4 linked regions of the Elephas maximus indicus genome follow. The protein of the gene in region 1 binds, or shares a complex with, the protein of each later gene. Links are inferred from orthologs where the notes say so. Each region holds a gene or a part of one and is shown on either strand. Other genes may lie near its edges.

What was found.
Region 2: TLE6 (region 1) and KH domain-containing protein 3-like share a complex: the UniProt entries of both Homo sapiens proteins name them as parts of the subcortical maternal complex. The link is inferred for Elephas maximus indicus from reciprocal best matches to the Homo sapiens genes TLE6 and KHDC3L.
Region 3: the proteins of TLE6 (region 1) and YWHAG are in contact, whole or in part, in a cryo-EM structure (PDB 8XI3), measured with the Mus musculus proteins. The link is inferred for Elephas maximus indicus from reciprocal best matches to the Homo sapiens genes TLE6 and YWHAG. Residues at the interface, in NP_444484.1 of Mus musculus: Phe137, Leu138, Ser139, Glu140, Ser141, Asp142, Leu144, Gln145, Leu295, Arg347, Asn430, Leu447, Gln470, Met472, Asn489, Asp510, Asn511, Thr512, Met530, Pro553, Arg555; in NP_061359.2 of Mus musculus: Lys50, Arg57, Arg61, Lys125, Asp129, Arg132, Tyr133, Gly174, Leu177, Asn178, Val181, Glu185, Phe201, Asp202, Ile205, Ala206, Leu208, Asp209, Glu213, Tyr216, Lys217, Thr220, Leu221, Ile222, Met223, Gln224, Leu225, Arg227, Asp228, Asn229.
Region 4: the proteins of TLE6 (region 1) and OOEP are in contact, whole or in part, in a cryo-EM structure (PDB 8H94), measured with the Mus musculus proteins. The link is inferred for Elephas maximus indicus from reciprocal best matches to the Homo sapiens genes TLE6 and OOEP. Residues at the interface, in NP_444484.1 of Mus musculus: Trp256, Ser258, Phe304, Thr305, Arg306, His307, Val318, Asn320, Val322, Asn323, Glu332, Ser333, Asn354, Ser355, Arg356, Leu373, Ala374, Ala375, Pro376, Ser377, Leu378; in NP_080756.1 of Mus musculus: Arg32, Pro33, Trp34, Trp35, Pro37, Gln39, Glu40, Glu67, Trp70, Met71, Gln73, Gln94, Pro95.

What each region holds. Positions count from the first base shown.
Region 1 is NC_064821.1:6,075,076-6,083,301, forward strand, and holds the start of TLE6 (transducin-like enhancer protein 6), read left to right. Parts: upstream 1-5,074; 5' UTR 5,075-5,156; intron 5,157-5,784; 5' UTR 5,785-5,824; coding exon 5,825-5,875; intron 5,876-7,473; coding exon 7,474-7,553; intron 7,554-7,962; coding exon 7,963-8,008; intron 8,009-8,226. UniProt on the Homo sapiens protein: Component of the subcortical maternal complex (SCMC), a multiprotein complex that plays a key role in early embryonic development.
Region 2 is NC_064819.1:136,624,982-136,631,500, reverse strand, and holds KH domain-containing protein 3-like, read right to left. Parts: upstream 2,153-6,519; coding exon 1,987-2,152; intron 1,811-1,986; coding exon 1,631-1,810; intron 1,336-1,630; coding exon 860-1,335; downstream 1-859. UniProt on the Homo sapiens protein: Component of the subcortical maternal complex (SCMC), a multiprotein complex that plays a key role in early embryonic development.
Region 3 is NC_064830.1:94,203,217-94,210,853, forward strand, and holds the start of YWHAG (14-3-3 protein gamma), read left to right. Parts: upstream 1-4,437; 5' UTR 4,438-4,645; coding exon 4,646-4,732; intron 4,733-7,637. UniProt on the Homo sapiens protein: Adapter protein implicated in the regulation of a large spectrum of both general and specialized signaling pathways. Binds to a large number of partners, usually by recognition of a phosphoserine or phosphothreonine motif.
Region 4 is NC_064819.1:136,634,189-136,640,502, reverse strand, and holds OOEP (oocyte-expressed protein homolog), read left to right. Parts: upstream 1-4,109; 5' UTR 4,110-4,223; coding exon 4,224-4,389; intron 4,390-4,607; coding exon 4,608-4,787; intron 4,788-5,325; coding exon 5,326-5,405; 3' UTR 5,406-5,619; downstream 5,620-6,314. UniProt on the Homo sapiens protein: Component of the subcortical maternal complex (SCMC), a multiprotein complex that plays a key role in early embryonic development.

The sequences.
Region 1 (8,226 bases):
AAATAAAGTTATATTTAAAAAATTAAAAAAGCACGTGGGTGAAAGGAAGCAAGTATTATGCATTCAGCTGACCCCTGAGCAACCGTTTCTTGGGCACCTACACAACAGCTAAGGAGCCCTGGAGGTGCAACTGTTAAGCATTCAGCTGCTGATGGAAAGTCCGCAGTTCAGACTGCCAGCGGCTCCGTGGGAGAAAAGACCTGGTGTTCTGCTCCCATAAAGATTTCCATTGCCTTCGAGTGGAGTCTGACTGTAGGGACCCTATAGGACAGAGCAGAGCTGCCTCATAGAGTTAGCAGCCAAGAGCTTAACCACCATGCCACCGTGGCTCCTTCCCCATAAAGATGACAGCCTAGAAAACCCTATTGGACAGCTCGGCTCTGTCACATGGGGTTCCCATGAGTCAGAATCAACTCCATGGCACCCAACAACCTTATGATGTAAGGGTTATGAGAGTACATTTTGCAGCAAGATAGCTCAGCTCCTAGCTGGTTGTTAGGTGCCATCGAGTCGATTCTGACTCACAGCAACCCTATAGGACAGAGTAGAACTGCCCCATAGGGTTTCCGAGTCTGTAATCTTTATGGGAGCAGATTGTCAGGTCTTTTCTCCCGCAGTGCAGCTGGTGGTTTTGAACTGCCGACCTTTCAGTTAGCAGCTGAGAGTTTTAACCATTGTGCCACCAGGGCTTCTTGCTCCAAGCTTAGCCATTTAGTAATGGCCTGACCTTGGGTATTCATTTAACCTGTCTGTGCCTCAGCTGGAAACCCTGGTGGAGTAGTGGTTAAGCGCTACAGCTGCTAGCCAAGAGGTCGGCAGTTCAAATCCATCAGGTGCTCCTTGGAAACTCTGTGGGGCAGTTCTACTCTGTCCTATAGGGTTGCTATGAGTCGGAATCAACTCCACAGCAGTGGGTTTTGGTTTGGGGTGCCTCAGTTTCCTCCTCTGTAAAATGGAGATGTTGGGGTTGACATTTGAAGAAGTGAGTTGTTACATGGTAAGCAAACTCCCTGGTGCAAATGGCTTTTTCATTCCAAAGGCTGTGGGATTTTTGCTTTAAAAAAGGCCAGAAGCAGGTAGATCAGGCTCTGAGCCTGGAAAGGGTTACCCAAGCTAGAGGCAGAGGGGAAAAGAGGAGCACACAGCTGCTCACTGAAAGGTCCGAGAGTCGAGCCCACCCAGAGGTGCCTCGGAAGAAAGGCCTGGCAATCTACTGCCGAAAACTCAGCCATTGAAAACCGTATGGAAACTTAGGGGGCCATGAGCTTATGTTAATGGGTGAGGAATAATTTGAAAAAGGAGGGTGAGAATGGCTGCATAAAGCGAAGAATGTCATTAATGTCACTGAATTGTACATGGAGATATTTTCGAACTGGTGTAGGTTCTGCTGTGTATATTCCCAACAACAGCAAAATAAATTATAAAAAGAAAATCCTGTGGAGCACAGTTCTACTCTGATACACATGGGGTCACCCTGGGTCAGAATCGGCTCCACGGCAACTGATTTATGTCAAGGACTTCCTTGTGCCCAGAACCACCACAAAGGGACCAAGTCACATGTGCCCAAAACGTGACTGCCTTTGATTTTCCCGAACTGAACGTAATTTCTCTTTTGAGCCTCTTTCCACCAGGTGGCAGAAGGCAAACCTCAGTTGATTCCAGATAATCTGTGGCCAAGTCTAAATTCAAGGGGAGATTATATGGATCTCGGGGGGGGGCACCCAGGCCTTCAATATCCTGTCTGCCCTCTCTTGACGTGGCCAACATTTGGCTACTGTCTCTCGTCTACATGGGCCCCTGGGAAGTTCTGGGGAGGGGACAGGATGCGGGGAAGAAATCTTAGAACATTTTACAGTTGTTAGTTTCCATCGCGTCCATTCCGGCTCGTGGCAACCCCAAGTGTACAGAGTAGAACTGTGCTCCATAGGATTTTTTTGGCTATACTCTTTAAGAAGGCAGATTGCCAGGGCTTTCTTCTGCAGCACCTTTATGGAAGCAGCTCACCAGGCCTGACTTCCAAGGCGCCTCTGGGTGGGTTTGAACTGCCAATTTTTTCGGCTAGTGGTTGAGCACTTAATGTTTGTGCCACCCAGGGAGTCCTGAGGCCCTTCACTGCTTCCCTGCTATTCCAAGAACAGAAATTACTCCATGGCCTTCTCTCTACCTGGGCTCTCTCTGGACCCACCTGGCCCACACTGAGCACAGGTAACTCTGGAGCCTGGGGATAAAAAAAAAAAAAAGAAATTCTGAAGTCTCTGGGACAGGCCCAGGGTCCCTTCTCAGAAACACAGACCACCTACTGTCTGTTTCCCTTCCTCCCCTCCGGAGTCTGATCTGCCTGCTTCTGACCTTGAGTTTCTTTTTAAAGCAAAAATCCCCAAAGCCTTTGGAACGCAAATGCCTTTGCTCTCCAACCTTCATCCAGGCCTGGAGTTTCCAAGTAAACCTTAAAAATTCAAACGCTGAGAAGGAAATCTTGGCTTCCTCCCTTCCTGTCTGCTGTGTCATCCCTTCCCTGTGAGCTCAGGGGAGGTTTCCTCCCAGCTGCCCAAGCTGGGACAAAGCCAGGGAAAGAGTAATGGGAAGAACCAGGCGTGAAAACCCACTGCTTAAGGTACCAAAAACCAAACCAGTCGCCATCGAATTGATTCCGACTCATAGTGCAAATGGTAATTGCACTCGCTCGGCTGCTAACGGAAAAGCTGGAGGTTCGAGTCCACCCAGAGGTAAAGAAAGGCCTGGAAATCTGCTTCTGAAAAACCTGCCATTAAACACTCTAACAACAACAACAACAAAAAAAAAACCCATTGCCATTGAGTCAATTCTGACTCATAGTGACCCTATAGGACAGAGTAGAGCTGCCCTATAGCGTTTCCAAGGAGCGCCTGGTGGATTCGAACTGCCAACCCTTTGGTTAGCAGCCGTAGCTCTTAGCCACTAGGCCACCAGGGTTTCCATTAAACACTCTATGAGGCACATGTCTGCCCTGACACACGTGGCGTTACCATGAGTCGGAATCGACTTAACGGCAATTAACAATATTCCATGGATAAATTTTATTTCATTTTTACTAATTTTGATTTAAATAGACACACGTATCTAGTGGCTGCCCTAGGAGATAGCACAGCCTTGGATAAATTGACATGCCCAGCTTCAGTTGTACAACCAGGGAAGAGAAGGGAAGCTAATGGGGGAAATTGGCAGGCTCGTCCATAAATAAAATTGACTTCAATTAAGGGCAAGCTGAGGGATCGCAGGTGAAAACCTCTTTGTGTCTCTGACGGGGAAGCCCCCCCTCCTCTGTAGGCAAGCCACAAAACCCAAGTTATCACCTGTTTACATCAGAACCTCCGGGGCTACGTGTTCTAAATCTGAATCCTCAGTTTCCCCCGAGTGACAAAGCACAGAACAGTCGGTTCTCTGGCCTCTTTGTATCTCAGGCCAGTGCACCTATCCAAGTGTCTCTGGGCAGGTGTGAGAAGGTCATGGCGAAGTCATGGACGGGGAAGAGACTAGGGGTGGGGATGCCTCCCTATGAGACTTGAGATCAGTATGTGGGTTCAGAACACAGCAGAGCTCAGAGCCACCGCTAGAGGCTCCTGTCACAGAAACCACTGAGATGGACCACAAGATTAGGAGCAATTTAAACCACAGTTGAAGAAAACAAAGCAAGGGAGACTTCCTTCTCAAGGGGTGGCTGTTGTTGTGTTCCCTCAAGCTGATTCCAACTCGTAGCGACCCTACAGGTCAAAGTAGAACTGCTCCATAAGGTTTTTTAGGCCGTTATCTCTATGGGAGAAGATTGCCAGGTCTTTCTTCCGCAGTGCTACTGGGTGGGTTCCAACCACCAACCGACCTTTCCGTTAACAGCAGAGCACTTGACCACTGTGCCACCAGGGCCCCTTCAAGGAGTTAACCAAAATCCAAACCAATCTCACTGCCATCGAGTAGATTCCGACTCAAGGAGTTAGGGGGTGTACTTTTCAAAGGAAAGGTTAGAGGAGGCCTCTCTCAAAAGGTGACCTCTGAGGAGAGAGCTGAAGGAGGTGAGGGAGCCAGCCAGTGTCTGTCTGGGGCACACTGTTCCAGGCAGGCGGAAGAGCCGGTGCAAAGGCTCTGGGGCAGGAACGAACTTGGCCTCTCACTGCAGAACTCAGGATTACCACTTAATATCTGAAATAGGTTAATAACAGAACTCTTCAACACCACGACGTCCATCCTACCCAACCCCCCAAACGCATGCGCAATTGGATTCTCTGGCTCAGTAACAACGCAAACCCCTTAAGTCTCAGACATCATCTGCCCTGCGGGGTCTCTCTTAACACTCTTTCCTACCCTGACCTTGAACCTGGCAAAACTGTACCAGCCTCCAGGCATTTGCTGTTCCAGCTTTCATTGCCACTGGGACAGGAGGGCGGAAGGAAGAATTCACTAATAAAATGCCTTACCCAGCCCCGGGCTTGGCTCAATGGAAGCCCTGGATAAACCGGAGCTGTTAAATTCTCCCCCGAAAGGGGGATTGCACGCTGGCATTGCGCGTTATTTAATATTGCAGAAATCATCATTAGTCCACATCTAAGTATTGGGGTGGGGATGCTAAAGGGTCCCCCCATAAGCCACCCTTGGCATGGCCAACAATGATCAGACTTCTCACCAAACAATGCAACCACAAGCCACTCAGCCCCTCCTCCAGTTCCACCCTTTGACCCTCAAGCCGTAAGTCCCCCCTCCCTTGTCTGGACCCCAGACTGCGGCTCTGCGCGACCTCTGTACCCGGCCGCGGGGCCGCAAGGGTTAAGCGGCGGCCGAGCGCGCTGAGTGACAGTCCGGCCGGCGGCTGGAGCGAGCAGACCAATCGGCGGCGGCGGCCGCTGCCCACGTGGGCGTAAGGCCTAGCGATTGGTCAACGCCGCCCGTCCACCGCCCGCGAGTCCCGAGCCCACGTGCAGCTGCTGCTCATTCATTGCTCGACTTCGCGTTCCAGGTGGCGGCGGGGAGGGGGCCGGGGCGGGGCCGGGGCGGGGCCGGGGCGGGGCAGGCGGGGCCTAGAGGGGTCAAGCAGCCCCTTGGGGGAGGTGCTTCCCCTTGGTTTAAACTTGGCCGGCCCCTCCAAGTTCCACCTTCTTCACTGGCCCTGGGTCTCCACTTTCAGACAGGTGAGTTTCCAGGCGGCTTTCCTGGCGGACTCCAAGCTCCCTGGCTGGGGACTATGCTGGAGGGAAGTCGAGGGGGCAGAACTGAAGGAAGGGGCCAGGAACCTGTAGGAGAGGTTGGGGTGGTGAGAGAGGTCTCTTTCTTCCTGTCTGATAAATTCCTTCTAATTCACCTGAAGAACTCTTATTCATCCTTCAAAACCCATTTCCATTGATCTCTTTCTCTGCTTTAGGAAATTAAATCAAAACCAAGTTTGAGCTTTGGCTTCCTTCTCTGGCGTCCCCCAAGCCCTGATTGCTCTGGGCGGGGTGGTGGGGAGCGGTGTATGTGTCTGGTACTGTCTCCCCCACCCCCTCATAGGGTGGAGCCAGGGGCTCCGGCCTTTCTGGGTCCCCACCATTAGTCTAGGCAGTAAGAGACATCAGAGAGCATCTAATGAATGAACGTGAGACCTAGGGAGTAACAGTGGGATGATACGGTGGAGGGCAAAGAGGGGCTGAGGACCCAGGTCCCCGAGGGTGCCAGCGGTGGGTGGTGCAGGAGACCCCAGGGTGGGGGGCGGGATGGTTCTACCCGTGGCACTGCCCAGCGTTCCGTCCTCAGGACCTCCCATCTCCTTATGAATTTCAGAGTCTCTGGCTAAAGCCCTGCTGACTTTTCCTTGAAAACGATGTCTAGGAGCCTACTCACCTCCCAGAGGGACACTCACAGGATGGTAAAGGTGACCTTGAAGCTCCTGGGAACCTCAGTGGCATCAGCCAGGCAGAGAGCCCAGACCTGGGTTCAAATGCAGATGGCCTTCACTTAGTTCTCCCAGCCCTTTCTGATCGGGGTGGTAATAACCCATCACCTGCTTCCCAGCTGACAGAAGCCAGCACTTCCTTTTAAATTAAATTTCCTTCTAATAAGACCCATGCATACATCATCGATTTGGTTAATATTTTACACTCAAAAGCCATCTCCTCACCTCCACCCCTTACTTCCCAGGGGTGACTATTTCTAACAGGGCAGGGTTTGGCCAACTTTTTCTGTCAAAGGCCAGGTAGTAAAATTGTAGACTTTGCTGGCCAACAGGCCAAATCAAAGCTATTCTGTTGGTACTTGAATTAGGAGAGAAAACGGGAATGCCCTTCTGGTTTTACGTGTTTCCTCCCTAGCCCCTGACTGGCCCTTTGAGCCCACTCAGTGGCTTGGTGGAAGAAAGGCCTGGCAATCTGCTTCTGAAAGATCACAGCCATGAAAACCTTATTAGAGCCCAGTTCTGCTCTGCACACATGGGGTCACTGTGAACTGGAATTGGCAGCAACTGGAAATGTTGATTTCTGTGTCCGTCTCCTCATCTTGGAGCCCTGGTGGCTCAACAGTTAAAACACGCTGAAAGGTCAGCTGTTGGAGCCCACACAGCAGCTCTGTAGGAGAAAGACCTGGTGATTTGCTCCCGTAAAGATTAAAAACCCTGTTGCCTTTGAGTCTACTTCGACTCTTAGGAACTCTATAGGACAGAGTAGAGCTGCCCTGTAGGGTTTTCAAGGTTGTATCTATGGAAGCAGACTGCCACATCTTTCTTCCGCCGGGCAGCTAGTGGGTTTGAACCTCTGACCTTTTGGTTAGCAGCTGAGCGCTAAGCCACTGCGCCACCAGAGCTCCTTTGGGCCACCACCACCACCCTCCATTTCCAAGCAGAAACTCCCCTCAGGTGATAACTTCTCATCTCCCCCCTCTCTCCTCTGAACCCTCTTAACCTGGCCTTGGAGTCTAACAAAGGAGCCCTAGTGGCGCAGCAGTTAAGCACTCAGCTGCTAACCAGAAGGTCTGTGGTTCAAACCCACCAGCTGCTTAGTGGGAGAAAAATGTGGCAGTTGACTAGTATAAATAAACCCCGCGGGGCAGTTGTACTCTGTCACATGGGGTCGCTGTGAGTGGGGAATCAACTCAAGTGGTACCTAACAACCCTAGCCCCTACAGGGGAGAAAAAAAAATTTCTTGTCAAGTCAGCTTTGATTCACGGCGACCCCATGTGTGTCAGAGTGGAACTGTGCTCCACAGGGCTTTCGATGGCTAATTTTTCCGAAGGAGATCACCAGCCCTTTTGTCTGAGGTGCCTCTGGGTAGCTTTGAACCGCCCACGTTATGGTTAGCAGCTGAGTGTGTTAAGTATTTGTACCATCCAGGGACTCCCTGTTCTCCTACGGGGCTGGCCCAATTCCTGGGGGCTACAGGTGGTACCTGGGTACTAGATGAGATGGAGCCTTACCTGGTAGCATGGGTGTCTGAGGAGCTGGGGTCTTCAACCCTCCCTTCCCGCTTTGACCCTTCCAGACTCAGACTTCCACCTCCAAGGGCCTGCAGCAGCTGAGCGAGCAGAATACCCTGGATCAGCTGAAGAAGCAGTCCCTCAGGTGAGGACAATTCCATGTGGCCACATGGACTGAAGCCAAAGACCCCACCCAGGGAAGGACTCCCACTTGGGCCCTCTGCTTGGGGATGATCCAGAGGCCCCTGGGTCAAAAGCCAGGATCAGTAAGGGGACTATCGGGGAGCCTGAAGCAAAAGGAAAACAGTAATTCTGACCCTGGTTTTTATTGGGAACACCTTGATATTTCCTGGGGCTTGAATTTTGACTTTTGAAAACATGGTCTTAAAATTGTATTTGTCTTGATCACCAAGCTTTCTGGCACCACCTTCAGTCCGGCTTCTAGCTGATGCCTCACTTCCCTCACCCTCATCCCGGTGTTGCCTGGGGCCTCACCCTGGGGGTGGCGGGGGTCCTCAGGCTACTTCTTCCAACCAGTCTTTTTTTACCCTCAGGGCCCTCCTTCAGTTGAGTACACAGCTGGAAAACATTTGCCACTCGGTGAGTGGACTGGGGCAGCCCCGCCCCGGGGCAGAGGATGCCAAGGAGGGAGGCTGAGGTTGGGGGTGGGCAGTGGTGGTGCTGACCACTGGTAACCTTCCTGAGGGGCTCAGGCTGCAGCTCCTCGACCCTCCTAAGCATCCCAGGGAGGCTGTCCTTGTCAGCTTCTGGAGCCCTGATGGGCCACCCCCCCACGGCCCCCCCCCACGTATTACACT
Region 2 (6,519 bases), on another chromosome or scaffold:
ATGAGAATTCTTATAACACCAAGATTAATGTGTGCTGTTGTTTAACGCTAGGACCCATCTGTTAACAATTTGCATCCTTCAGATTTACGGGCAGGCACAGGGAACAGGCCTAGTTGCTCAATAGCCCAGAGCTGCGCTCAGACCGAGAGCGAGTCGGAGGTACTCCGCCGCTGTAATGGACGAAGTTGAACTTCGCGCTCATGTCAAGCCTCACAGAAGGGCGGGGGACTGATCTGAGGACATTAGCAGTATAGCCAGCCTTTCTCCCATAGTTCTTCCCCACTGTCAGTTGCCCTTATCTGTGGCACCGTGGGACATCCCTGCGGGCCCTCCAAGTTTAGGTGGGCCGCAACCAGATTTGGGCCATCCTAAAGCACCTTGATTGCAACACCAGGGGGCTAGGTGGATTTCCCAGTGAGGGCCGATTCTGTGGGCACTAGCCTTCCCTCTGCAAAGGCAGCGGCGCAAGATTAAGAAGCACCATAAGGGCAAGCACGTGGCCGCGGGAGGGGTTTGGGGAAAGGGCGAGGGGAAGAGACTGCAGCTTCGGCCGCTAGAAACCCAAGAGGTCCCACTAGTCTCTAGGTAGAGAGCAGTGTGGGCAGAACTCGGCTGTCGGAGGAACCTGCCGCCTCTCCCTTCCCTCCTATCTTCCGATTAACAAACACTAGAGAAATTTGACTCTTTATTAGGACTCTTTAAATTCGTGTTTACGAACATTTAACACAGGAAAAGAGAAAAAAATCCACCCCATCATTTTTATTCTGGGGGAGAGGGGTAGCAGGACCTAGAACAAGGGTCCAGACAAAGCTTCCGCTTTAAACTCTGCATGGCCCTAGCCTCGGGGCACTAACTACCTTCAAAGCTTGGTAACCCAGAGCTGGGCAGCGTCCGCAGCCCCCGGGGTGCCGGCCTCGGCCTCGGGGGCAGCGTCCGCAGCCCCCGGGGTGCCGGCCTCCGGATCGGCGTCCGCAGCCCCCTGGGTGCCGGCCTCCGGATCGGCGTCCGCAGCCCCCTGGGTGCCGGCCTCCGGATCGGCGTCCGCAGCCTCCTGGGTGCCGGCCTCCGGATCGGCGTCCGCAGCCTCCTGGGTGCCGGCCTCCGGATCGGCGTCCGCAGCCTCCTGGGTGCCGGCCTCCGGATCGGCGTCCGCAGCCTCCTGGGTGCCGGCCTCCGGATCGGCGTCCGCAGCCTCCTGGGTGCCGGCCTCCGGATCGGCGTCCGCAGCCTCCTGGGTGCCGGCCTCCGGATCGGCGTCCGCAGCCTCCTGGGTGCCGGCCTCCGGATCGGCGTCGGCAGCCCCCTGGGTGCCGGCCTCCGGGGCAAGGCTCTTCTCTGAACGTAGAGAGCAGTATGAGAACACCGCAAGTACGTCCCCAGCCTCCCCTTCTCAAAGGGACAGTTATCAATACGGCCTGCGCGGGTGGTGGCAGAAAGCTATTTCGATTCTGGAGTCTACCACGGAATTCCAGAAGACTGGGCTAATTTGTCTTTCCAGATCCCTTGCAAAGAGGAAACCCTCTCCCAGGCCAAGTAGGAGGGGGAGACTGCTGCCGGGATCGTCAGGACCCCTCCCAAAGAGCCCAAAGCCTACCCGGGAGATTCCTCCCTGCACCACTCGGTCCCTTACTTTGCTCCCGGCGTTGTCGGTGATAGTCGGCCAAGTTCGTGATTATCTTGGCTATGTCTTTCTGGTAATAAGGCCGCCCAAATATCAAGATCTCCGCCTTGCCTTCGGGGTCCACCCGACGCACGCGGAGAATGGTCTGTGACACACACTCGACGTGCGGGATGTGCTCTCCGCCCGGTCCTGCGTGGGAGCGAGGAGGCCGTGAGGGGCGGGGACTTGCGAGGGGAAGGGGCTAGGGAAGAAGCTTCCGGGAACCGGCTTGGGGCCAGGGCCGGTGGAGAGGGTTCCCCTGGGTCATGGTCGGAATGGGAAGGTGGGGCAGGAGCCCTCTCGGCCGCCCTCGCTGTACCACTCACCGAAGATCGCTTCCACTAGCCAAGCCTCGAGGTATACTCTATACGGATTCATCAGGTGCTCGGCGTTGAACCAGAAGGGCCGTTTGTCGAGATAACTGAGCTCCTCAAATTGCTGATCCTGCTGCCCCAGCTGCACGAGCGTCGGAAACTGCTTGGAAGTGGCCATGCTTCCACAAGCGTGGCGGGGAAAGGCGCACGACGCAAACCCTCAGTCCGCGCTCCTGACCCACGGTAGAAGATAACCTGGCACCAGGCCCTTATTTCAAGAGCTTTTGGCAAGCCCCTCCCCACCTCGCCCTTGTCATTGGATACCAGGCCTCGCCTCCCAATCCGGGCCCCAGGGCTTCTTCTCCAAACCGCGCAAGTGCGCTGAATGAATCTTGGTGCGTTTCTCGAGAGGCTGTACTAGGCTGGGATCTTCCCGGCGCCGCCCCTCGCCTCTTCGGAGACCCAGGTGCTTCTCAGGCAAGTTCTAAAGGGATCCATTTAGCATTCCTAGGAGGCAGGAATAACTTTGTAGTGGATAAACCTAATTCAAGGAATCCGAAAAAAGTGTTAAAAGGTTAATCTCCTTCTCTGTCCCTTGAGCCCTGGCCATCGAGTTGCCTCGGCAGAGGCCACCACCTTTCCAGCTTCGATAAATAGCTTAGAGAACCTAAATGTTTGACTGTTAGGAGACGTGGTGAGCAAGTATTATTTAAAGTTATATTTACGGACATGGAGAAATGTATGTTCATTATCTCTTAAGTGAAAATAAGGTTGCGAAATAGTGTGTATACTATTATTGTTGAAGCCCTGCTGGCGCAGTCGTTAAGAGCTCGGGTGCTAACCAAAAGGTTGGCAGTTCGAATCCACCAGCCGCTCGTTGGAAACCATATGCGTTACGAAAGAGTATGTATATTATTGTTAGGTACTGCCAAGTTGATTTCGACTCACAGCGACCCTGTGTACAACAGAATGAAACACTGCCCAGTCCTGTACCATCCTCAGAATTGTTGCCATGCAAAAAAAAAATTTTTTTTTGAGCCTATTGTTGCAGCCACTGTGTCAATCCATCTCGGTGAGTATCTTCATTTTCCCGGGCACTCTACCAAGCATGATGCACTTCTGCAGGGACTGGTCCTTCCTGACAACATGTTCAAAGTAAGAGGAAGTCTTACCATCCTCACTTGTAATTGCCCAATCAGTTTGCCTTTCTTCTGTAGGAAAAGGTTTATGGCTTTCTGAGTTGGGTGTATTTCTAATAAGCAGTGAATGATTGGGCATTTTAATCTACTCATGTTTCATTTTAACTGAAAACTTTAAAACTGTCTATGTATGTTATTAGTTTAGACTTTCCATCATCTAAGTGGGCCCAATTCCATGCTACCTGTCACTCCCTACAAAAGTAAATAATTGACTAAAGAAAGTAGGATGGCAATGGGGCTGAGAGTGGGGCTGTGACAGATGTTCTCCAAAAGCTGAGGCCTTCTTGCCAGGAACATCCCAAAACTGGTGTTTCCTTTTACATTTAAAATAACTGATCTGTTACTGTTGAGGTCTTTAATATAGTGTATAAACTCTGGATTGAGATGTCCCTGTTCAAAGGTCAACTTTTGACACTTGGCAGCTGTTGATTTTAGTTAAATTATTTAACTTCATTGTGTCTGAGTGTCTTTATTTACAAAGTGGAGGTAATAACATTACCTACCTCATAGTGTTATTGTAAAGATAAAATGAGTTAATATATGGAGCAAGTTTACAACACGGTTTGGTACACAGGAAGTACTCAATAAATATTAGCATTTATCACCACCATCCATGCTCGTTTTGGGTTTGTTTGATTTTTATATCTACTTTCACTGTGCCTGTAGTTGTAGAAACTACTTAGTTTTTATCTTATAGGGAGATTCCTGCATTTTCTTTTAAACTGGTCATGAGGCCACAAAAACAGGGAAATACATGATGCTATCAACATCAAAATTTATCAACATCAAAATACACATTTAGGTAGCCAGGCCTGTTCAGGCTCTGTCCCTTTTGTGTCCCACTTTGTCCCTCAACCACCCGATGGGAAGAATGTGAGGAAAGGGCATCTGAAGCCAGCACCTCATCCGATTGACCATCCTTCCCTGTTTGCCAGGGATAGCCCAGGTTGTCACCTGTTTTCCCAGTGTAACCATTTATATTCTTCCTCCCCTTCACCCTCAAAAGTGTCCCTGTCTACAGATCTAACTAATTTACAAGCAATAGAAAGAACAGAGGAAAATGTTAAACTACTCCATGGAGATACAATTTGCAAAATCCAGACAGAGGGAAACTATAGAACACACACTTCAGCTTCTTCAACCAATAATTTACAAGGTAAAAGAGGGTATGGAGAAGGAATCTACAGGTTAAAAGAGAAAAGACCTGCCAATCACAAAGTGGAAATCTTATTTTAAACCTAATCAAATAAAACAAAAACATAAAATTCTAAAACTTATGACTTGATGGCAATGGGTTTTATGAGACATTTGGAAATTTAAATACTGATGATTATTTGTTGACATCAAGGATATTTTTAGTTTGATAATGACTTCATTTTTTTTTAAAGGTCTTTTAGAGATACAGTTTGGGTGGGGGAGGGGAAGGGACAGCTGCAACCCTGAAGACAGCAAGTCCCCTTGGCAGAGACCTGGCAGGAGATGGTATGGTGGGCTTCCCAACCCATGGAGAGAAAAAGCTGAGTGCCTTTGGGCACAGGCGTAGGGCTAGGGAGAGGCATGCCTGGGAACACTGCTGGGAAGAGGTTGTCCTCATGGAAGAAATGTATCCTTGAGTGTTCCCGAGCCTGAATTGTAACCTGTTACTTCCCTAATAAATCACATAATTGTGAGTATGGTCTGTGAGTTCTGTGTGGCCATTGCAATGAATTGTCGAACCCAGCAGAGAAGTAGAGAGTGCTGTGGAGGGCCGGTTGGTGTCAGAATCGGTAAAGATGGCAGAGGAGGCATGTCTGACACAGGCCTCATAGGAATCAGCCTTAGGCTGATTGATAGTGTATCTCAGATGGAGTAAGTACTGATATGGAACAATCTCCAAAATACATTTAAGTGAAGTTAGAGGAGGTCAGACACTGCCCCCGTGCCATTTTTATAATGCCTTAACATTAATAAATGTATTCAATCAAATTTTCATGGACTTTTAATTAAAATAACAAACGTCTTGTCACCACTATACTTAAATGTGTTATAAAAACTCATGTTACTATGAATTTAAATTTCTTATTTATCTATATTTTAATTCATTTATTATTATTATACAGTCTTGGAGCATGTAACTCTTTGAGACATTTATCTTCCTAGAGTTATGATAATCTCATTAGACCTAAAAAAAAAAAAAAGCCTTCATTTTAGACTAGTCAGGTTGTGAATATCTAACATACACCTTTAAAATTTTTTTTTGAATGGTAATATACCTGGTACAAAAGACTGTACAGTGAGGTCTCTCTCATCCTTTTAGTTAACCACAGTATCTTTTCAATATATTCTATGAAAATACAATATATATATTTATATACAATTATATATACACATACATATGTATTTGTAACACGAATAATAGCATATAGTACACACTGCTTGTACCCTTTTTTCCTCACTTAATGTATTTTGGAGATTGTTCCATATCACTACTTACTCCATCTGAAATACTATAAATTAATTATCTTTCTCCCACTAAAATATAAATCTCATGAAGATTTTTGTTTTTTCATATTTTTTTGACTTCATACATTGTATATATACATACGTATATGTCCTATGGTTCATGAATATTTATCTTGTATTCAATTTTTTGCTTTTACCAGTAATGCTACTGCAATAAATATTCTTGTTTATGTCATTTCTTACGTGTGGGAATATATGTGTAGGATAAAATTCAGATGTATAATTACTGGGTCAAAGGGTTTTTGTACATTTTCAATTGATAAGATATAGCCAAATGGGGTCCCACTGAGTTTAAACCATTTTATGCACCTACCAGTATTTTTGCGGACCTTACGCCATGAAAAAAAAAAACTGAAGTTTATCTTTTGACAAAACCAATACATATACTTTAGATGCTCCTTCATTAAAAACCAAACAAACAAAAAAAAATTTATCCTTAACGGAAAATGCAGGCAGGAGGGAAAGAAAGCAGAGCATGTGAAATGGTGAAGCTTTCTAGACTATCATCTAGACCTACAGTAGAAATTTAACATTGATTATATTTTCTCTAAATGATTTGTTGAAATAACTCGAGTCTTTCAAGTTTTAACCTTCCAAATGTTGACTCAAACCAACACCGAAATTCTGCCCTTCTTTATCGTAACAAAAATCCTCTTTTGCAAGAGGATATTGGGGTATGTTGGAGAAGTGGCTGTTTTAATAAACAGGACCAGCGCAACGAAAGTAGACAGCGGGCCGCCCACCGCACCGAGAAGGATCAGCGCAGGGAGGGCTCAGGCGGCGTTTGCAGACCCTCCCTGGGACTGCTCTCAGGGCACCCGAATTCGCCCTACTACCGCGGGGC
Region 3 (7,637 bases), on another chromosome or scaffold:
GAGCAGGCAGAAGCCAGATGCTAGTTCTCCACCTCACTTCTCTAGATTTCTTTTAGCAGAACTAGGCAGTAGAGGAGGAAACCAGGATGTTAAGCCATTTGCTCTGTGTAATGTTGCCATGCCTCTGAGGCAGCCCTCTAAACAGCCAGGGGCTGCTGGGCAGCTGTAGCTTTAAGTCTAGAGTCTTAAAAAATTAAAAAGGAAAGGAGGGCAGGGCCAGCTTTCTCCTGCACAATTAGAGGGAAGCCTCGATATGGAGACTGTAGATGTCATTCCTATTTGGCTTTGCAGCATCATTTTCTTTGCATCTGTTTTATTTTTTCCCAAGTAGGTTTGGCCTGGGTTGTTTTTTAAGTGCGTTGGACTGGTTGGGAAAGGAACTAGGTGGAAGAAGTCAGAGATGTAGCCCAAAATGTGCCACGGAGTTCTGAGATTTAGCATCTAGAGCCAAGATCAGTGACATGTTTAATTCACAAACTGACAACCAGGATTGGATATAAGGGTTCACTCCCACTGGCCTCGGATGCCCACGGCAGAGTGGTTCATGCCTGGCCTGCAGGGAGGAAGAGAAAGGAAGAGGAATAACTTGGTGAACAGTCATGCAAGAGCAGAAGGAAGTAGGAGGGTTTATTCACCAGCAGGATTGCAGTTTGCTGGGTGGTGTGGTAAGAGAAGTGGGGCCAGGCTAGATCCAACGTTGGAAGATGGGGAGAAGAGAGCTATTTCTAGGCTCTCTCCCCACTCAGTCCATCTCCTACACTTCTGCTAGCACAGTCTCCCCAGAGTGCATTCATTCATTCATTTCACATGTTCTATGTACTTACTCTGTGCCAGGAACTGTGTTAAGTACCAAGGATTCAATGGTGCTGAAGAAGACAAAAATGCAAATCTGATCATCGTTTGCACTTGTTAAACTCACTCATCGGCTTCCTATTTACTTTGGAATAAAGACTTAACTTCTTAGCCTGGCATTCAGGGCTTCTCGTGTTCGTGATTACCATCCCAGCCCCATTACCTATCACCTGAGGGTACCAGACACATCAGATTCTTTGCCTACCAATAAATATGCCAGGGAGGAACCTGAGAACCTGCCTCTAAGCCTTGCTATTTGTGCCCTCTGCCTGCTCTTTCTTGTCTAATCCTACATATCCATTAAGGATCAGTGGGAAATGTCACCTCCTCCCTGGAGAACCTTTTTAGAATCTTTTCCTGCCTAGCCTGAAAGAATTAAAAAAAAAAAAATTATAGAACTTAACACATTCTAAATCCCTTAAGTGATACCATGGTGTGGCAATGGCGTAGTGGGGGTGTCATCCAACCGCTTCATCTAACTTCACAAGAGGAGAGGAGAATCAGTATCAGCACCAACAGCCAAGGCTGATTGCTATGAGGTGGAGGTCAGACATATCTCCTTGTCCAATCTTTTTACCAATTCTGACACCAGCCGTCCCTCCCATGGCACTCTCTACCTCTCCGTTGGGTTCAATGATTCGTTGCAACGGCCACACAGAACTCACAGATCGTACACACAGTTATGGAGTTTATTAGGAAAGTTTTGTTGTTGCTGGGTGCCGTCCAGTCAGTTCTGACTCACAGCAACCCTATGTACAACAGAACAAAATACTGCACAGTATTGCCATCCTCACAATTGTTGCTATATTTGAGCTCATTGTTGCAGCCACTGTGTCAATCCATCTCTTTGAGGGTCTTCCTCTTTTTCAATTTTCAAGTATGATGCCCTTCTCCAGGGATTGGTCCCTACGTAAGACGAAGTCTTGCCATTTTTGCTTCTAAGGAACTTTCTGGCTGTACCACTTCCAAGACACATTTGTTCATTCTTTTGGCAGTCCCTGATTTATTCAATATTCTTCGCCAACACCATAATTCAAAGGAATCAATTCTTCTTCGGTTTTCCTTATTTTTTGTCCAGCTTTCGAATGCATATGGGTCAGGCGCACCTTACTCCTCAAAGGGACATCTTTACTTTTGAACAGTTCAAAGAGGTCTTTTGCAGCAGATTTGCTCAATGCAACATGTCATTTGATTTCTTGACCGCTGCTTCATGGGCACTGATTGTGGATCCAAGTAAAACGAAACCCTTGACAACTTCAATCTTTTCTCTGTTTATCACGATGTTACTTATCGGTCCAGTCGTGAGGATTTTTGTTTCTTTATATGGAGGTGTGCTCTATACTGAAGGCTGTAGTCTCTGATTTTCATCAGTAAGTGCTTCAAGTCCTCTTTGTTTTCAGCAAGCAAGGCTGTATCGTCTGGATGTCAAAAGTTTGGTAGTCTTCCTCCAAACCTGATGCTGCATTCTTCTTCATATAGACCAGCTTCTCAGGTTATTTGCTCAGCAAATAATTTAATAAGTATGGTGAAAGGCTACAATCCTGAGGCACACTTTTCCTGATTTTAAACCACACAGTGTCCCCTTGTTCTGTTCAAATCACTGCATCTTGGTATAGTGAAGCAACAGGTTACAATTCAGGATCAAGAACAACTCGGGATACAGTTCTTTGGTCAGGACGGTCTCTTCTCAGATCAGAACAGTCCCTTGGCCCCTCAGTCTGGCCTTTGTCCTGCTCGGGCAAGTGTTACAAAGCTGTTTTGCTCTGCCAATAAATGCCCAGGGCCACCCTACTCTTCAGGGAAGCCTCTGGCCAGAAGTCACTCAGCACACCCACTGTAACAGCCTTACTCCATGGGCCAGGAAGCCCACTGCGTCATCTGATCACCTGGTTCCTGCTGTCTTGTGCCGCTACCACTCTCGCTGCTGCTGTGCTGCTGTATTTCACTGTCTTCCATGTTAGAGCTCCTCCCTATCTCTCTCCATGTCTCCCTTTAAGCTTAGCAGAATGGCAAAATTGACCAATCCCCTCATTAGGGCTCCATACACCTTATTTGCATGGTCCCACTTCTGCAAGGGTTCCATGCACCTTACTTGCATTGGCAGCAAGCCGTCCAATCCTTTTAGTGGTCTACAAGCACTTTATTTGCATAGTTCCACCCAATCATTGTGTGGGAGTCACAAAGACTATGGCTAAAAAAAAACCCAGTGCCATGGAGTCATTCCGACTCATAGCGACCCTGTAGACTATGGCTAGAAGGGCCACATTAAGTAATTCATTGCACGAACGTGCCCTCTTCCTCCAGCATCCTAGGGCCTGGAATATTCCCTCACACAAACTCTTTCATTCTAGGTTCTCATAACACAACATTTCACATCATCTATTAATCATTTTCTAACATACTTTACGTATTTATTATTTATCTTGTCTTTTCTGTTTCTATGTCTAGAATGTTAGGTTACACATGGGCAGAGATTTTTGTCTGTTTTGTTCACTGTTGAAGACCATTGTTTAGAATAGTGGTTGACACATAGTAGGTGCTGAATAGGTATTTGTTGAATAAATTAGGTAAGTAAAATGTGCAGTCAAAACTATGGGTGTCTGTGAGACCTATATGGAATCTCACTGAAGAGAACCATATGGGAAAGAATCTGTCAGCCTAATCTCGGTGTGTATGTCCCAGGAAGGGAGAAGGACTGGGCAAACTCAGATCATAGCCCAGGGTTAGGCACAGCATAACTGTGAATTGAATCTTGAGTACTGGGCCCTGGAGAGGAAGAAGGAGCTTTCCAAGGGTCAGCCTCCACACAGTTGCATCTTTTCTTAAATTAACCAGTATGCTGGGCTGATATTTGTCCTTCCTTATTTTCACCTAGTCGTAACCAAGAACTTCAAGGTGGGCATAGGGAGCTGGAACCTTGGCGGGGTGGCTGATAGTCCAGGGTTTGGCCCCTTAACTCAACCATCCTGCGGGCTGGCACCACCCCGACAGTATGGATCTACAGCGGATGCGCCCTATCCCTTTCTCCACTCCCCTCTCTTTTCCCCCCCAAAGGCCTGTTGCTTTATTTCGGAAACAGAGACCCTTGACCCCTCCCCTCATAATTTCCCGAAGAATACCCGTCGGGCCATGAATCAGCACTCCCTAGGATTGATGCAGTCCTCATCCCCGCCAGGGGTCCCCAGTGACTGGCAGATTAGAAACCTCCCCAATCCTCTACCGCCCGCGCGCTACGTCCTCTGGGAGATGTAGTCTTGACCGCCCCTTTGTCCTTGGTCTGCCCAGTGGTTCGCCCCCGCAGGAGCACGAACTACAACTCCCAGGGGCCGTTGCGCCGCGGGCCCGGCGGGGCGAGGGTCTGAAGGGGGAGGGGGGAGTCTGGAGGTGCTGGGGCGAAGGAACAGGCGTGGGGAGGAGAAAGGGGAGCGTTGCGGAGCAACGGGGAACGGGCGGACGGTCGGAAGACCGTGGCTAGTAGAGCCGCGGAGCTGAAGCAGGAGAAGCTGACGGCGCCAGGGAGGGGCCTGGGCGGGGTGCGCGCGGCGGGCGGGACCCGGCGCGTCACGCGGCGTGGGCGGGGCCGCTGGGGGTTGTCCTCTCGCCGCACGCACAGCAGCCGCAGCCGCCTCGCGCCGGTCCCGCGGTCGCAGCTCGAGCCGCAGCCTCTGCCGCCTCAGCTGCTCTTTTCGTGGGTCGGTCCCTCCGGCACACGGGCTCCCGCCGCGCCGCAGCCGCCCTCCAAGCCTTTCAGGCCGCCCCGGTCTCCTCATCCGGCCCGACCCAGCCCGCGAAGATGGTGGACCGCGAGCAACTGGTGCAGAAAGCCCGGCTGGCCGAGCAGGCGGAGCGCTACGACGACATGGCCGCGGCCATGAAGAACGTGAGTTTCCCCTCCCCTCGCCCCGCCACTCCCTGCCCTTTCTGAGACGCCTTCATTCGCCTTAGAGGCCCAGGGACTAGTCGCCTGTCGCGACTGCAAGGTGGGTCGCCCCTCCTCGCTTAGGGGGCCGTGGAGGGTCCTGATCGTGAAAAGCACCCGGGTTGTGACGCTGTCTCTCATCCCCGTCCCTGGGAGCTGGCGGCGCTGCCTCCTCGGACTTCGGGGCTCAGACCGGACCGGGGCGGGGTCTTCCGGGACCGTTCGCGGGCGCGGGGTCTCTGGCCCCCGCGTGCTCCGGGTCTGCTGGGGACCCGAGCGGGGCCGTGCGCATCCTTTGTGCCCCACTTCCCCTCCTCCCAGCCTGGGGCGTGGGGGCGGGGGACCGCATGGATGCGGTTCCTCTTTCTCTCCCTGGTGTTTGGGCGGCGCCTTTCCCATTCACTCAGCAGGTTTACTCTTTTTAGACCCCCCCCGCCCCCCATCTCCTTCCCCTCTGCCCCTCCTGACAGATCCTTTACAATCTCCCCCAGGAAAAATTTTAGGCTCTCCTGAAAACCTGGGGTCAATGGTGCAAAATCGAAACCTTCTTGATCACGTTTTTCTTAACAAAAGGCTCCTGTTTGTTCATTCCTCAAAGCAAGTCCTCCCTTTGGGGGGGGGGACATTTGTCTCACTAGCTTCTTCATTAATTGTTCTCAGCATGTCATCTGCATTTCCCCTAATGTTTTGTAATGAAAAGGGTAGGTATTGTTTTTAAAATAAAAGTGGTGGATGTAGCAGCCTGGTTAATTTGTGACATATGCTTTTTTTTTTTTTTTTTTTTAAATTATAGGCACGCGTATTGAAATTCCTGTAAGTTGGAAAAAAAAAATTCTGATCTGATATTGCAAACAAAGCGGTGGTGGGAGGCAGTATCAAGTCATTCCAGAAGATTCTGCGTTTGTCATATTGCAGAGAGCCTAGACTGGGTGGAGGCTGGGAGGGGTTGTTTAAAGGGGGAAAAAGTGTTTTTTTAAAAAAAAATTTTTTTTAGCTATATCTGAGGCTTTTTTTTTTTTTTTTAAGCTAGTGCACCCTCACGCTGATGAAAAGAGAATAGTGATCTCCAGTTGTCGCGTTTTGTTTGAGATGCAGATTTCTGCCTGTATTGCACCATTTTGTCAGTAACACCACATTTATCTAACGGGCTGTCAACCCGCTTGAGATGAGAGGAGGGGGGAAAGCATTGAACATTATTCAATATGGAAAAAATGATCTAATCATTTAGGTCTTACACTATCTTAATATTTAACTTTCTACATTATGTAACAAAGATAATTAAAATGCATCTCCAGTTTGAAATGGATGCACCTTGCATGTTAAATCTTTTTAATGAAGCAGTGTAAGTATAGTAGATTAATTCTCGAGTAGCTAAACTAGTTCACAAAAGATGACAATTGGTGATGCCTTTATATTTAAACCAGTTACATTAACAAAAAATGTTATCATTAAGGAAGGGATTTGATTCTGGGAATTGGGAGTATCCTGTTGCTTAATGTATTGCCACAGTTATTATTTTACAACATTTTAAAGATCAGATGATATAGGTTGCATTTTTAATGGATGCCAATGTTGAAAATATCTTTGGTTCATGTTATTTAGGCTCTTTTAATTTTTCCATATTTCTAGTTTCACAGGAAAGCGAGTGACCTCGCACCTATATCCATAGCAACCCAGTGATGTCACACACAATGACACAGAGGCTGCAATGCACCTAAGGGCTGGTAGGGAGTATGCAAATGGCATTTGTCCAAGGTAATGCAGACGTTAGTTGATAAACCTGGTGGGATTGAGCACTTCACCTTCCACTAAATAAAAATTGATTTGCAACGGAATGGTCCTATTGGTCCAAAAAATAAGTATTTCATTTACCCTTAGACATGCAAATCAGTGACCTCTAGATATGCTTTGTTCACTTTATTTCTCTCTCTTTTTTTTTTCAGACGAGTTTATCACATCCATCCTATTTTAAACACTCATCTCACTTAATTAAAAAAAATTGGGCAACGATGGAATAAAAGTATGAATTTAACAAAGGAATATGTTTTATGATCGTAGTGTGGGGGAGGAGCTTTGTACTGGGGTTTTATTGAAAATTAATAGCTTGGCAGATTTTGATGAAAAACCTAAAAAAAAAAAAAAAAGACTTCCTACTGGGTCATTTTTAGTAGCTCTTAGAGGATAAGAACCCATTACAAACCAGTTATTAAATTCATTTGAGGTTGGGCTTTGGGAAAATTGTCTTGTTGTATTTGTGCTTCTGCTACTTGACAATATGGAGGAAAGACAGTTTGTAAAATAAAACAGACCTATTTTCAAACCTGTTTACTGTGACTTTGAGGAAGTAGGCTGACCTCTGGCCCTCATTTTCCTCATCTGTAAAGTGGGGCAATACCTACTTGAAAAAGTTGTGGTTAAATAAGAAAATGTAGGTGCTCAAAAGCGGTAACTATTTATGAAACTTTGTTTCTTGTTTATAAAAATGATTTCATTATGGAGAATTTAGATAATCCAGGAAGGTATGAGGAAAATACTCAGTGCTGTCACTCAAGTGAGCTCTCTTTGAAGGTGGAAATTTTCCTGACGCTAGAGGGATTCAAATTTATTTGTCTTTATGAAATTATCCCAGTAATAACAGTGTTGGGATCTTTGTAGAGTGTGATAATTGTATGTGGGTGACCAGAATAGGTGTAATGAGCAGTACTTTGAAAAGGAGGAAAGAGGGAAGTTAGTTTTTAAGATAGATGTATAGTCTCTTATATTTAAGGGGAGTGAACACCTGGAGATTCTCTACGTGTTAAACAATATTGTGCTTTGGCTCTTAATAACAGCCTCTTGAGAAGTTAATATGCTAAGTAGGCTATTG
Region 4 (6,314 bases), on another chromosome or scaffold:
CTTGTGGGCCCAGCTTCAGATGGGTCACATTCTGTATGCTCAAGGACAGGGAATAATAATTCCAATATTATTTTCTAAATCAGTTATAACAATGTATTGTTGGATTTGTAACATGAACAGATATAATATGTACAATAATAATACCTCAAAAGGATGAAAAGAGAATAGAGCTATACAAAAATAACATTTTTATATTTCACTGGAATTAAGCTTTTATAAATCTGAAGCTTATTCTTATAAGCTAAGATGTATATAGTAAACCTTAGGGCAACCACTAAAAAAAATTTTTAAAAACTCAAAAATAAGTGAAAAATCATTATACAAATTAAAATGATACATTAGAAAATATTCACTTAATGCAAAAGAAAGCAGTAAAGGAGAACTGGAGGAATAAAAAGGCATGAAATGAATCCTAAACATCAGAGGCATGCTTCCTGAACATTAGAAGAATGTCCTCTATACTTCAGAACGGTTAGGCCTTTATTATATTCCTTTTTTGCAATGATAGCTCCTGGCTTGACACTGATTGGTTAAATATCTTCTTACTACTGTAGAATATTTTCCTCATTTAACCATCTAAAAAAATAATCTATGATTTATGCATTTTGATGTTATTTGGTACAAAAAGATTAATGTCTTTATTATGCTTTGTACCATTTTTCACTGTCTAGAGGATTCCACGTTAGAGCTGAAGATTAGACCAAGAATGGAAGTACTGGAAGACAAAGATTCTCAATGAGAAATTAAAGAGCAATTCACTCACAAACTCTATTGCCTGAGTCCAAAGCCTCTTCAGACTGGTTCCTCCAGTGCTCAGCAGAGAAAATGGAAGCATATGATACCTGGGAGGTCTTCTTGGTACTATATCCTTACCATGGGGTACAAAGAGTTTTGTTCTTTTTACTGTGGTAAAATATATATAACAGAAAACACACCTTTTTAACCATTTTTAAGTTAACAATTCAGTGGCATTAATGACATTCACAGCGTTGTGCAACCATCACCACTATTTAGAGTACAGAGAGTTTAAGTACATTCAGTCACAGACCTAGCAATGTTGGAGCCTGTATTCAACTCACGGCCCCTCCAATCCAAAGTAAAACCAGGAAGCCTGGGAGATAACTGAGTGTCAAAACGGACTCATCTTGGCAGATTCTACTAAGCCTTAAAACTTTGTGATTCTGTTCTGAAGTTGGCATGGGGGGCAGCAAATACAACTCAAGATCTGCCAAATGTAGGAAACTTAATAGGAGAGCCCTGCACAAAGCTGGGACACCAAGTGACCATACCTCCAACATAAAACTAAATCAGAAATAAACTTTGTCATCCAGATGGAAACATCAAAGGAACTTGTTTTGTGGTTGCCTTTCTCAGGTATGTTTTGACCTGATAATTAATTACCACAAGCCAGACTTTATGCAAGGTTTTGGCTAACTCATGCTACATGTGTAAGTCTGAAATTTTTCAGAAATTTAATTTGAAGTGGCCTCAGGTTGGGCACATCCTCAAGAGAATGGCTCAGAGCAAAAAAGCTATCAATTTATAGTGATTTAGGAAATAATACTGGAGTCATCATTCCCTGTCCTTGAGTATAGAGAATGTGACCCAGCTGGAGCTGGGCTCACAAGGACAGATCAACTGGGGCCTGAGATAAAGACAATAGAATAATCTTAGAAAATATCTTTTAGGAAACCTTTCAGAACACAAAAGACTTTCCACTCTTACCTTTTTCTATTAACATTTAGTGAATAGAAATTTCTTGGACCAATGAAGACCCTCCTGACTGTTGTAACTGAAACCTGTACCAGTGATCATTAAGAAAGGTGATTCGAAATGTAGGATCACAGTTTCTAGCAGATCTGTGAAAAGATAAAGCTTCCAATTGTTTTGCCCATTTTGTAATGTTAATATATACTGATGACTCTGTAACCTTCTCTGGACCTGGACAGACACGGGGGTGGCAGCATGCTTGTTCGTTTTCCCATTCTTGTCTATTCTGTAATACTCTCTGGACTCCTTAGCTCTGGCATCACGCTTCTCCGCTTCCCGCTTTTGTCTTTTTGAATATATGCCGGATAAAACTTTGTTTTTGCTTTACTAAACTTTGCGATTTTTTTCCCCTACAATAGAAAGATGAAATTATAGTACTACCTCATGCCCAACTGAAGAAAATTAACCCCAGGTAGATTAAGCACTTAAATGAAAGATCAAAACTTCAGCATTCTTAGTAGAAAGTATAGTGAATATCTTTAAACCTCAGGCTAGGAAAGGCTTTCTTAAGCAAGACAAAGAAAGCATTTACTATAAAGGCTAATAAATCTGACTATGTTCAAATTAAGAATTTTGTTCATCAAGATACCGTAAAGAAAGGACATTATCGATTGGAAGAAGAGATTCACGATACACACACCTGACAAAGGATTAGTAAAAGGATGATGGAGAACAGGTGATTTAGGAGATAATATTGGAGCCATTATTTCTTATCTTAGTATGTGACCCAGCTGGAGCCGGACTCACAAGGACACATCATCAGCTGGGCCCCCGAGGTATAAAGATAACAGCTAGGACAATCTTGGAAAACATCTTTTAGGGAAACTTTCACATGAACAAAACAGCACAAAAGACCTTTCAACTCTTATCTTTCTCTATTAGCATTTAGTGAATAGTAAGATCTGTTGGACCAGTGAAGACCCTCCAGACTGAAACGTTGTTGTACCAGTGATTATTAAGAAAGAGGATCCACAGTGTGGAGTCCCGTTGATCTAGCAGTTTTTAGGCAATCCATGAAAAGGTGAAGCTTTCACCGATCTTACCCATTGGTGATGTTTACACTGGTGATTGTGTAATGTTCTCAGATTCCGGCAGACATCAGCTCTGGCAGCATACTTGTCAGCTTCCCGCTTTTGCCCTTTTGAATACATGCCAAATAAAACTTTCTTTTTGCTTTACTAAACTTTGAGATTTTTTACCCTACTGCACATGGGAAGGGAGATTTTCACAAATTATATTCTCAAGATGTTTTCACAATGTGCATCTATTACTGTGTAGATTTAGAAAATTACAGTGAACAAATAAAAATATCCACTAAAGTTAGGTGCAGTACTTCCTCTCATTTCCTCTTATAGATACTGTCTATTGTTGAAGCCTAAATTATGTGGATGAGGGAATTTAATATAGTAATACTATCCTCCCTTATGTAAATTACTGAAAATTTCCATTAAAAAGATTTTGAAAACAAATTATACCTAATTTTAAGGAAAAAAAATTTGTACAGCAGATGCTATCTATTCTACAACAATTAACCAAGCAATATTTATAACCAAGCAATATTTATAGAACTACCCTAGCAAAAGTGCAAGAACATGTGTGGGTATGATACACACCAGCTTCATGATGATAATTTCCTCTGGGGAAGGAAAGGGAAGATTCTTTAGTGATATACATTTTAAAGATCAGAGAAGTGAGGCAAATGTAGGAAAATGTTAATATCTGTTAACTGCGGGTAAGGGGAGAGGTACATGGGTGTTACATTACTTTTGGATATGTGAAATCTGCCATAATTTAAAGTTATAGTTAAAATTAAGAACACAGGGAAGAAATAGGTATCAACAGCAGTTGTGTCTTAGGATGATGGAAGTAAACAGGATATGCCCGTAACAGCCACGTTTCCTCTAAGGATCAGGTCGGACATTTTACTTATAAAACACGACACATTTAGTTTTGTTAGAATGATTTCGAGATGGCAACCTAACCGGAAAGAGTCAGAAGATAACAGGGAGAAAATACATTATACAGATTCGAGGAGCCTGCCCTATGCCTGACCTACCCACCTACGTCTGCAGGGTAATGTGAAAACTTTTAACCCAGGCACTGAAGGGGATTCCCGATCAACAAAGTCACCAATTCCAATTCACACTATTTATCAGCTACGTGACAAAGCAGCGGCCTTTGAGGCTAAGTGATACTGTACAAGGCAGAGATGACCGAGGGCGACGCCAGGCAGGCTCAAAAAATTACTCCTTCCAGGTAGAAGAGGGGCCCCAGCGACTGGCTCAGCAGGAAGCGTCCCGGGGCCCTGCAGAGCCGCAGCTCCAGGAGGCGATTGAGCCTCCTCACCGCCAGGGGGGGCGCGAGGAGCGCCGGAGGGGCGGGGCTGGTGGGAAACCGTAAAGGCGGTGAGCTTCGCGCGTCTGCCTAGCATCCCGCCAAGAGCTGCCTCCAGCATGGTGGATAACGCTGGTGGCGCTGAGGCCCAGGTGGAGCCAGACTCCCTCGTGTTACCACATCAAGGACCAACGCTTCGCTTGCGGCCATGGTGGTTTCCGGTGGAGGAACTAAAGGAACCGCTGGTGTTTTACCTGGACGCATGGCTGGTGGACCTGATCTTTGGTAAGTGATCCCGCATGTGCTTGCAGGCCAGTCATTTCCAGTGGGAGAAGGGCAGCCCAACTACTCTCTGTTGCCTCTTTCCTAGATTCAGAGGCCAATTTGGCGCCATGACGCCCAACTTCCAGCTGTTCCCTTTCTCTGGCCAACATTCCCTTCAAACCTAGCTCCTAAGCTGCAACCACTTCGACCTTCATAGCCTCTCCTTCTTGCCTGTTTAGGCCCAGACAGAGCCATAATTCCAAAAATTGAGTGGATGAGCCAGATTCTGCTGACTGTGGATGTGGTGGACTCCAGTGACCTAGCCAAAATCACCATCTTCGGACGGCCCAGGGTACAGAATCGGGTGAAGAAGGTGCTCCTGGCCGTGGCATCGTGGCACCGGAAACGTCGTCACCGAAGTGAGAGTCTTAGAGAATCTGCATGTAGGGGGAGCCACGGAGGACCCATCTGGCCTTGCTCAACCCCTTTCCAACCACCCTTCCCTCTCAAAACAACTTTTTTGCTGTTCTCAATCCCAAGAAGCTAAACCCTACCCCTAGGGATCCCTTTGGGAGGGAGAGAGCCCAGGTTACAAAAAAAAAAAAAAAAAAAACCCACTGCTGTTGAGTCTTTCTAACTCATAGCAACCCTATTGGACAGAGTAGACCTGCCCCATAGAGTTTCCAGGGAGCACCTGGCAGATTCGAACTGCCGACCTTTGGTTAGCAGCTGTAGCACTTAACCACTACACCCTTGGAAAAGTAAGTTGAGATCTGATTCATTAAGGCCATCATTGCCCAAGCCAGCCTCAGCTGGCCTATTCCTAGATGCCAGTTTTCGAGCCTCCATCCTGAGAAAGGATGTTGCCAGCATCTCCTTCCCTCGTTTATCAGTGCTTAGGCTAAAACAGCAAGCGTTTCCCTTACTAATGGTTGGTATCAATTGCTTTTCCTCCAGGTGAGAAGATGGAACAGCTTGAGGAGTTCTTGAAGGCAGGTGCATCCAGTCCCCAGGCCCCCCAGCATCCTATTGCTTAAGGGAGTATCCTCAGGAGTATGATGAGCACAGTTCTGTTTCTGCTACCAAAGTTGGAGGGAAACAATTATCTAATATCTGCATTCCATTCTTCTGTGTCTGGATGAATATGCTTTGATTATTTTGGTGCAAACATGAGTTTGTAGAGCTCTTGTAATCAAGAAATGGATTTCCTTGCTTTTTGGGTCCAATGGCAATAAAATGTGTTAATTTAGTTAGGCAGATTTATAAAAGGTTGACTGTTCATTCATTCTTGGCGGGGGTAGAAGGCTGATACTCTTTTTGTTCTTGTTTGTTTTTAGTTTTACCATTTGGAAACTGCTAACTCTTTTATGGTTAGCCTCAGGCCCTCAAATGCAGGCAGGGGACAGAAGTATAAGGGCGGATGACCTTCAAGTGTCTGATCTGTTTTGGTTTCAGTGGTTAGTAAGATTTAAAGTATATCAAGAGTCACCTTGATAGCTCGTTAAAACACAATTCCCTAGACCCCTTCTCCAGAGATTCTGATTCAGTACTGGGTGAGGGCCCATGACTTTGCATTTCCAACAAGTTCACAGGTGATGCCAGTGCTGCTGAGACTCTCACCTTGAGAACCACGGCTTTACATCTCCTTACTCTAGTTGTGAGAACGCATATTAAGTCAATGTATTGAAGAATCATCAGAAATTTGGAAGTCTTACGGAGGAACTAAAGGGACTTAATAACATTTAAGGAGGGAACCAGAAGACTTTCTAAGGGCAGTTCCTACCTAGAATGGGTCTTCTATTGGAAACAAGTTATTTTATAAATGCTGATGAAGCTGGAATTAGACTGGAGACCCCAGCACAGTGGAAGTTTCTGAGGAAAGCATTAATTTAAGAGATCCCCCTCCTCAGAAACAGAAAAATCTGGCCAGATCACTCAGATGTTAT